Linked DNA regions of Ovis aries. The protein of the gene in region 2 binds, or shares a complex with, the protein of the main gene of each other region. Links are inferred from orthologs where the notes say so. Each region holds a gene or a part of one and is shown on either strand. Other genes may lie near its edges.

Evidence for each region.
Region 1: the proteins of BTK (region 2) and BIRC2 are in contact, whole or in part, in a crystal structure (PDB 6W7O), measured with the Homo sapiens proteins. The link is inferred for Ovis aries from reciprocal best matches to the Homo sapiens genes BTK and BIRC2. Residues at the interface, in NP_000052.1 of Homo sapiens: Leu483, Asn484, Arg487, Glu488, Tyr551, Ser557, Lys558, Arg562, Lys595, Met596, Tyr598, Glu599, Arg600, Phe601, Thr602, Glu605; in NP_001157.1 of Homo sapiens: Pro280, Ser281, Ser282, Asn301, Asp302, Asp303, Arg314, Cys315, Glu317, Ser318.

The regions. Positions count from the first base shown.
Region 1 is NC_056068.1:6,039,492-6,043,686, reverse strand, and holds part of BIRC2 (baculoviral IAP repeat-containing protein 2), read left to right. Parts: 5' UTR 1-56; coding exon 57-957; intron 958-1,050; coding exon 1,051-1,150; intron 1,151-4,195. UniProt on the Homo sapiens protein: Multi-functional protein which regulates not only caspases and apoptosis, but also modulates inflammatory signaling and immunity, mitogenic kinase signaling, and cell proliferation, as well as cell invasion and metastasis.
Region 2 is NC_056080.1:133,028,195-133,033,084, reverse strand, and holds part of BTK (tyrosine-protein kinase BTK), read left to right. Parts: coding exon 1-174; intron 175-1,191; coding exon 1,192-1,256; intron 1,257-1,843; coding exon 1,844-1,962; intron 1,963-2,483; coding exon 2,484-2,641; intron 2,642-4,890. UniProt on the Homo sapiens protein: Non-receptor tyrosine kinase indispensable for B lymphocyte development, differentiation and signaling. Binding of antigen to the B-cell antigen receptor (BCR) triggers signaling that ultimately leads to B-cell activation.

The sequences.
Region 1 (4,195 bases), on a different chromosome or scaffold from region 2:
AAGAGAAGAAAAATTTCATGTAAAGGATTTTTGCTGTCAAAAAGTAAAAATCACTCATGCACAAAACTACCTCCCAAAGACTTGTCCTGGATCCCTCGTATCGAAAAATTAAGAGTGTGATGGAAGATAGCACAGTCTTGTCAAATTGGACAAGTGGCAACAAACAAAAAATGACATACGACTTTTCATGTGAGCTCTACCGAATGTCTACATATTCAACTTTCCCCACCGGTGTTCCTGTCTCAGAAAGGAGTCTTGCTCGTGCTGGTTTTTATTATACTGGTGTGAATGACAAGGTCAAATGCTTCTGTTGTGGCCTGATGCTGGATAACTGGAAACAAGGAGACAATCCTATTGAGAAGCATAAACAACTGTATCCGAGCTGTAGCTTTGTTCAGAATCTAGTTTCTGTTACTAGTCTGGAATCCACTTCTAAGAATGCTTCTTCTCCAATGAGAAACAGTTTTACTCACTCATTATCACCCACTTTGGAACATGGTAGATCATTCAGTGGTTCTTATTCCAACCTTTCACCAAACCCTATTAATTCTCGAGCAGTCGAAGACTTTTCCCCACTGAGGACTAACCCCTACAGTTATGCCATGAGTACTGAAGAAGCGAGATTTCTTACTTATCAAATGTGGCCATTAACCTTTCTGTCACCGTCAGAATTGACAAGAGCTGGCTTTTATTATATAGGACCTGGAGACAGGGTAGCCTGTTTTGCCTGTGGTGGGACGCTAAATAACTGGGAACCAAAGGATGATGCTATGTTAGAACACCAGAGAAATTTTCCCAACTGTCCATTTTTGGAAAATTCTCTGGGAACGCTGAGGTTCAGCATTTCCAATTTGAGTATGCAGACACATGCAGCTCGCCTGAGAACATTTATGTACTGGCCATCTACTGTACCAGTTCAGCCCGAGCAGCTTGCAAGTGCTGGTTTCTATTATGTAGGTAAGAGAATGTATAGCTGTATGTTTTATCTAGTTCATTTTGATTAATATATTAGAACACGTGTGTATTCAGTTATTCTTGTGTTTTCTTTAGGTCGCAATGATGATGTCAAGTGCTTTTGTTGTGATGGTGGCTTAAGGTGTTGGGAATCTGGAGATGACCCATGGGTAGAACACGCCAAATGGTTTCCAAGGTAATTGTTTTGAAAGGTATTTGTATATACAACTCTGTGTGTAAAAGATGTAGGCATGTTTGTGTATTTTAAGTTTACATTTCAGTATAAGAAAGCTTCTTTATACCATTAGAGAATTAGCCTTTTAAGACACCAAATTGTAACAGTTATTTTGGTAGAAAAATGTAGAATATTCTGTGATTTTTTTCTTTTATAAACCATGTGTTCAGGATATAATTTAACTTATTCTTGATGCCTCATTCACAGTTGTGGCCATACATTACATTTATGTATTTTCCATTTTGTTTAAAGTATTATAAAAATATGTAAAGTAGAGCAAAAAGGCGATACATTAGGAAAAGATAAGGAAAAAGAAAAACAAGGGACATTAAATGAATCTAGGAATAGGACAAATATAAAAATGCATATAATAAAAACCTAATTGTATAATCAGTTTTAAGTGATTATAATTGTAAATTATTTTTTTCTGTACAGTTTTATCTTTTTGTGATATGTCATGTATCTCTCTTTAGTCACTCTGTTTCTACCAGTATGTCCTATTTTTTTTTTTACTATAGCCTGGAAAGAATTTAGAGGCAGTGCTGTGGGTGGAATGTTATTGAGTAGTTGTATGAACTTGGACAAGTCATGTGACCCCTTTGAGCCTTTCCTCATCTATAAAATGAGGAATTTGGAATAGGTAATACTGTCTTTTTAAAAAATTATAAAATGTACATAACATAAAATTTGCTATTTTATCCATTTTTAAGTATACAGTTTTGTGGCATTAAGTACATTCACCTTATTCCTCATTCATTACTACTGTCAATTTCCAAACATTTTTTATCTTCCCAAACTGAATCTTGTATTCATTTCATTAATTCCTTATATTCCCAGCCCCTGGCAACCACCATTCTACTTTCTGTCTCTGTGAATTCAACTATTTTAGGTACTTTATAAGAGTGGAATCATATCATATAGATAATGTTTCGACTGGTGAGTGACTTTCCTAATAATGAGGAATCTCTAAATTTTTTTTTTTTAGGAAAAATCATGTTTTATTGTCATAATTGTATTTATTTTTGGCGTCTCTGTGTGGCTTCTGGGATCTCAGTCCTTATTCAGGGATTGAACCTGGGCAACAGCAGTGAAAACACCAAGTCCTAACTACTGGACCACCAGGAAATTCCCAGTTGTCAGAATTTTAAATGACTTGATTGTCCTTGGCTCTACGAGATTGGCTTATTCTGTAATTTGGAATTTAATACTATATTAAAAAGACAAAAACAGCTTTCTGATTAACAGTGTTTCATTTGCTATAATTTTTCCTTTAGAAAACAAGACCAAACAAAATCTTGGTTTACTTCTGTAATTAGTGTTTTGCTTGAAATGGTTACATAAGGGAAAAGGCCAGAAGTACTTTTTGTAAACACTTCTGAAAACAACAAATTTCAATTGTGGATAGTCTTTCATCTCAGAAAATGAAAATCCAAAGTGGATAATCATTATCATTGTATTTTTAACACAGTTTATTTATTCACTTATTAAATATTTGTATGCCTACTAGCTACTATTTTACTTCTGTTATTTCTCTCTCTTTTTTAAAAATTATTATTTTTTCTTTTTTTAAAATTAATTTAATTTTATTTTTTTAATTTTAAAATCTTTAATTCTTACATGCGTTCCCAAACATGACCCCCCCTCCCACCTTCCTCCCCACAACATCTCTCTGGGTCATCCCCATGCACCAGCCCCAAGCATGCTGCACCCTACGTCAGACATGGACTGGCGATTCAATTCTTACATGATAGTATACATGTTAGAATTCCCATTCTCCCAAATCATCCCACCCTCTCCCTCTCCCTCTGATGTTATTTCTCTCTTAACATTTTTATTCATAATCATTCAAAAGAATTTCCTTTTTCATAATTACTAATATTTACACGACAGTGTGGAATCAAATGAAAAGTCAATCCAAAGCAAAACGAAGAAGAACCAAATTAAAGAGAAAGGCAAAAATTGTGGTACTGTTATTACATATGAGGTTGAAACTGGTAGATAAAGGCTGATTTTGCAGCAGACCAGTAAGAATACTGGGATCCTGTTGATTGAGCATGATAATTCATGATAGTCACAGCATTATCTGGTGGCAAGAGTCTTAGGAATAAGTAGTTAGAAGTAACAGTGGAAAATCATGATGATCTTTTTTTCCCCCTTCTAATATCATTTTTTAAAAATTGAAATACAGTTAACATACATAATATGTTTCAGGTGTGCTGTGTCCTGATTTGATGTTTGCATATATAATGTTGTTACCATGATAAGCCTAGTAACCATCTGCCCCTATACAGTTATTGCAATATTGTTGACCATATTAAAATTTTTTTTTTTCTTTGAAGTATAAAAATTGCTTTTGGCTTCCCTTGTGACTCAGACAGTAAAGAATCTGCCTGTAATGCAAGAGACCTGGGTTTGATCTCTGGGTGGGGAAGATCCCCTGGAGAAGGGAATGTCTGCCCACTCCAGGATTCTTGCCTGGAGAACTCTATGGACAGAGGAGCCTCGCGGGCTACAGTCCATGGAGTTCACAAAGACTCGGCCACGACTGAGCGACTAACACTTCAACAACAAAGTCATAATTGCTTCTAACCACATTGTTTTTGCTGTATGTATATTATGTCCCCATGGCTTATTTATTTTATCATTGAATTTTATATCTAAATCACTTTCACCTATTTCCCTATATGCTTGTGAATACTACTTTAGATGCTGGAGATATTAACAGTGAATAAGATACGACAGAAATCTTAGTCCTCATAGAATTTATTGGAAGGAGGAAATATGGAGCAGCCAATGTTCAGTATACTTCCTATCTTTAATCATTATAAGTTAATCCCAGAATAAAAATAATTTAGACCTATATTAAGATCAGGAACAAGCTGTGTTCTCGGCATGATGACTTGAGTCATGAGCATGTTTACATGATCTCTACTAAATCTACCTCAGTCACCACCTGAAGGACATTGGGTTGTTTCCATTTTGGAGCAATAATGAGTAAAGCCACTC
Region 2 (4,890 bases):
ACGAAACAGCGGCCCATCTTCATCATCACTGAGTACATGGCCAATGGCTGCCTTCTGAACTACCTGAGGGAGATGCGCCACCGCTTCCAGACTCAGCAGCTGCTGGAGATGTGCAAGGATGTCTGTGAAGCCATGGAATACCTAGAGTCTAAGCAATTCCTCCACCGAGACCTGGTAGGATCTCAGAAGGATTGGTCTGGGTCCAAGGGTGAGGGGGGCGGAAGTAGCACAGGAAGGCACATCATGCATCCATGGCTGAGGAAGGTGGCTGGAGCCGTGATTTCAATTTCATCTAGAAAATACTAAAAGTTTGGTGAGCCTCTGCCCCAGTGGTCAGCTGGTCAAGGAATTCCAGCCTCAACACCATAAGTTTCCCCACAATGGGAGCTGTAATGGTCACTCGCAGCCCCTCCTACTATGACGAGGAAATGGTGGAGTCCTCCAGGGACAGAAGGGCAGCCCTCATCCTGATGGAACTGTTTTTTAGCACAGGACCATCATTCTGGTTATATCAGAGTCACAAACTGGGTGTCTGTTGGTGCATTTTTAAATGTTATATTATTAGTTACCAAACACTTAAAAACATTTCACATTAAAGAACTGAATTTACAGCTTCCCATGAAAATTGACATCATCTTGTATCAACAGACCCATATTCTCATAGGCCATGTTAACTGTCAGCCTATAAAGTATGGGCCTGGTATTACAGGATGGTCTAGCTGATCACAGGAAAGTGGCTGGCCTCCCTTAAACCAGACACTTTCCTGACATCTCCACCTACCCACTTCACTCTATCACTTCTCCTGCTTGGCCTCCCGGGGCATATTTATTCCAGCCATGCCAAGGCGGAAATAGCCCTAGTCCTGTCGGTAGAAAAGCAGAAAACAAAACACACTTGCCTTCTGTTCTCCCTTAATTCTCTCGACATTTCAACGCACGAAGGGTTGTCATGGAATTACCAGTGTGAGTGAAATCATGCTTCAAGTCTTCAGTGCTTTACTTATTATGGGGGTTGCTCTATATGTGATGGAAGTATATCGAAATTCCTCAGTGGCATCAGCTGACTCCTGTTAGGTGGGAAGGTGTGTCTAGATAAAGGAGATGAGGCTTCCCACCTCTGGTGGACAGAAGCTTTGTGCCCTTAACCTGTGCACCAAGGACAGAGTCTCACTGGTGTCTGTTGCACTACAGGCAGCTCGAAACTGTTTGGTTAACGATCAAGGAGTTGTTAAAGTATCTGACTTTGGCCTGTCCAGGTGAGTGCAGTCTTTTTCACCTTTCCCTTTAAAAGTAAAACTGGCACAGTACAAACGTGAGGTGACACTGTAACTTTTAATCTTCTCCCTTTCCCCCTATAATTCTAGTTTTTTCCACCATCTTTCTATACCTTTTCTTTCTCTGAATGGTTTAAGTCACTTTTCATCCTTCTGTTTTATTGTTATAGTCCTCTCTTCTCCTTTCTCCTTTCTCTTTTTTTAAAAAGCTAATTTCCCCAATATTCTGTCTTGTTCTGTTAATCTTGTTGACTTTACTCTGTCTCCTTTCCTAATGAGCCTAATTGCCATTGTTGACTGCAGGATTGAAGGAAGGGAAGGATGGGAAAAGAGAAAAGAGGGAAGGGAATACCTATTAGACCTTATTCCACTTCATCCTTGCTGTATCTATACTGTCAATCAGGAAAGCTAAGTCAGATATGAAAAGAGGAATATGTTAGTAATGGCATTTGTAAAAGACACTGGTTCGCCTGCAGTATTTGTGCAACTCTTATGGCTCTGCCAAGAAATTTTAAGCAAATATCAAACTCTCCAAATTGTAACAGCAACAAGTCCTGAATCCTTTGCAGGTATGTTCTGGATGATGAATATACAAGCTCAGTAGGCTCCAAATTTCCTGTCCGGTGGTCTCCACCAGAAGTTCTCATGTACAGCAAGTTCAGCAGCAAATCTGACATTTGGGCTTTTGGTGAGTGGATACGATTACATGGCTTATACAGCTCAAAAGAAAATGAATGCTGTTGGGAAATCCACACTCTGCAACCTGCACAGAGAGACTGTGATTTGTTCTTGCTTTCATTCATCTAATCCTTAGGGAATCGGGCACCACAGGGGTTTCTGGGGATTAAAAACAGTAAAGTAGACACGATTCCTGCCTTCTTAGAACTTAGAATCTATTGAGGGAAACAAACAATTCATTCAGTATTCCACAGCTTCTGAATACTAATGATGTACCAAGGACTCTGCCAGACTCTATAACCACAAACACAAATAAGATGTTGTCTCTCTCCTAGAGGAACTAATGGTCCGTGGCAATCCTGATTACCTCCAGCGTACTCAGTACTATAGCAGAAGTTTGAACAAAATTTTAAAAAAGCCCAGGGGTGGGGTGGGGGGTGGAACGAGCTGAATGTAATGTTTGAAGTTGATCTAGGAACACTAGGATCCCTCCTACCTAGAAACAACACATTTTGTTTTTTCATTGTCTAGGGGTGCTGATGTGGGAAATTTACTCTCTGGGGAAGATGCCATATGAGAGATTTACTAACAGTGAAACAGCTGAGCACATTGCCCAAGGCCTGCGTCTCTACAGGCCTCATCTCGCTTCGGAGAGGGTATATGCCATCATGTACAGCTGCTGGCATGAGGTAAGTGTTTTAGTGGGACCTCTTAAATTATTTCCTTGAACGTACTTTCCCATGTAGCTGACCAAGCACCCACAACCTACTCTTCCTCGCCATATAGCAACTGAGCACAGACAGATAGCTGTACACATTCTCAAACCCCAGCCTACATTCCAATCCTTTCATGACCAGAAGTTTTTCCAGGCCCACTCCAATTATCGCTAGAGGATCATTCAGTTCAGTTCAGTTCAGTTCAGTCACTCAGTCGTGTCTGACTCTTTGCGACCCCATGAATCGCAGCATGCCAGGCCTCCCTGTCCGTCACCAACTCCTGAAGTTTACTTAAACTCATGTCCATCGAGTCAGTGATGCCGTCCAGCCATCTCATCCTCTGTCGTCCCCTTCTCCTCCTGCCCCCAATCCCTCCCAGCATCAGAGTCTTTTCCAATGAGTCAACTCTTTGCATGAGGTGGCCAAAGTATTGGAGTTTCAGCTTTAGGATCAGTCCTTCCAATGAACACACAGGACTGATCTCCTTTAGAATGGACTGGTTGGATCTCCTTGCAGTCCAAGGGACCCTCAAGAGTCTTCTCCAAAACCACAGTTCAAAAGCATCAATTCTTCGGTGCTCAGCTTTCTTCACAGTCCAACTCTCACATCCATACATGACCGCTGGAAAAACCATAGCCTTGACTAGGTGGACCTTTGTTGACAAAGTAATGTCTCTGCTTTCCAATATGCTATCTAGGTTGGTCATAACTTTCCTTCCAAGGAGTAAGCGTCTTTTAATTTCATAGCTGCAGTCACCATCTGCAGTGATTTTGGAGCCCCCAAAAGTAAAGTCTGACACTGTTTCCACTGCTTCCCCATCTATTTGCCATGAAGTGATGGGACCAGATGCCATAATCTTCGTTTTCTGAATGTTGAGCTTTAAGCCAACTTTTTCACTCTCCTCTTTCACTTTCATCAAGAGGCTTTTTAGTTCCTCTTCACTTTCTGCCATAGGGTCGTGTTACTCCAATACCATCTCGGCTCTAGGGAGAGGGGTGTCATGGGGCCATGTCACCTAGCATAAGTAGGCAGCCAGAGGCATTCAGACAAGTGTATGTACATTAAAAAAGAAAACTAATTAAAAATTGTGTTCATTCCTTTGGGAGTCATTGGCCCTTTCTTCTACTTTACTAACTGCACACTTTTTCTGGCTGTGGTCCTAAATGAGATTTTTTTTTAAATGCTAACACCTGAAAGAGAACTAAAATAGGTAGGTCTCGTGGTTTTTTTTTTTTAATGCAGTGCATTATGGGATATGTGGGTAGATGTGGTATTTTGCAAATAAAGAGCCTGCCCCGCTATTATTAAAATGCTTTGCTGCTCTCACCTTGGGTTCTTCAGGAGTGCCTACTCTATTTTCAATAGATCCTTGGCAACCTTAATTTAGCAAACTAAATCTCTAGTAGGAAATGAGTGCTCAGCTCTTAGTTCTGCCCGTTTAGCAACAGGGAAAGACTGACAGTGTCCAGCAAGCACGTATGTGAATCTGCAGCCATCCCTGTGGGGTGAAAAGTAGGCATCTTGGTCAGAACATGGCTCTTTTCCCTTTGACAAATGACTCAGGTCACAAAGAAAGTGTGGAGAAAGGGAGAACGCTAAGAGCCATTTCCCTTCTCTCTCCTGTGCTGGGCAGGATTGAGGGTAATTGACGCTGCTGCTCTCTACCAACTAGCACATCCTTACTCTGCTACTTAAGTATTTCAGATAGGCACTTTCTCCACAGCCTGTTAACATAGTAGTCATGAAACTGGAATCACATCAGAATCTCTGTGGAACTCTTAAAACTACAGATGACTGAGCCTTACCTCCAGAGATTCTGACTGGGTATGTCTAGAGGGGGCCTCGGGTATGTCTTTTTAAACTTCCCAGGAAATTCTGATACTCAGTTAGGTTTGAGAATCACAGATTCAAAGGAACAAAAAGTTGATGACTTCTGGGTTCTGATGGATTGAGACTTTTCTTGCATGAATATATCTTGAATCACTAAATACCTCATGGGCTTATGGACCATGGCTGCCACAAAAGGCCTTAGTCTGAAGGCCAGATGGTTGTAGTAAGAGGTCCCGGGTGCTTAGGATGCCTGCCCAGTGAAGCAGCTCCTGCTCTTGACATGTTCATTCCTTTGTTAACTTTGGCTTTAGGATGGTAGAAACGAGTGGTTGAAACCTAACAAAAATTATAACAGCTTATAGGATTTCAGTTCAGTCAACCACTTAAGTTTG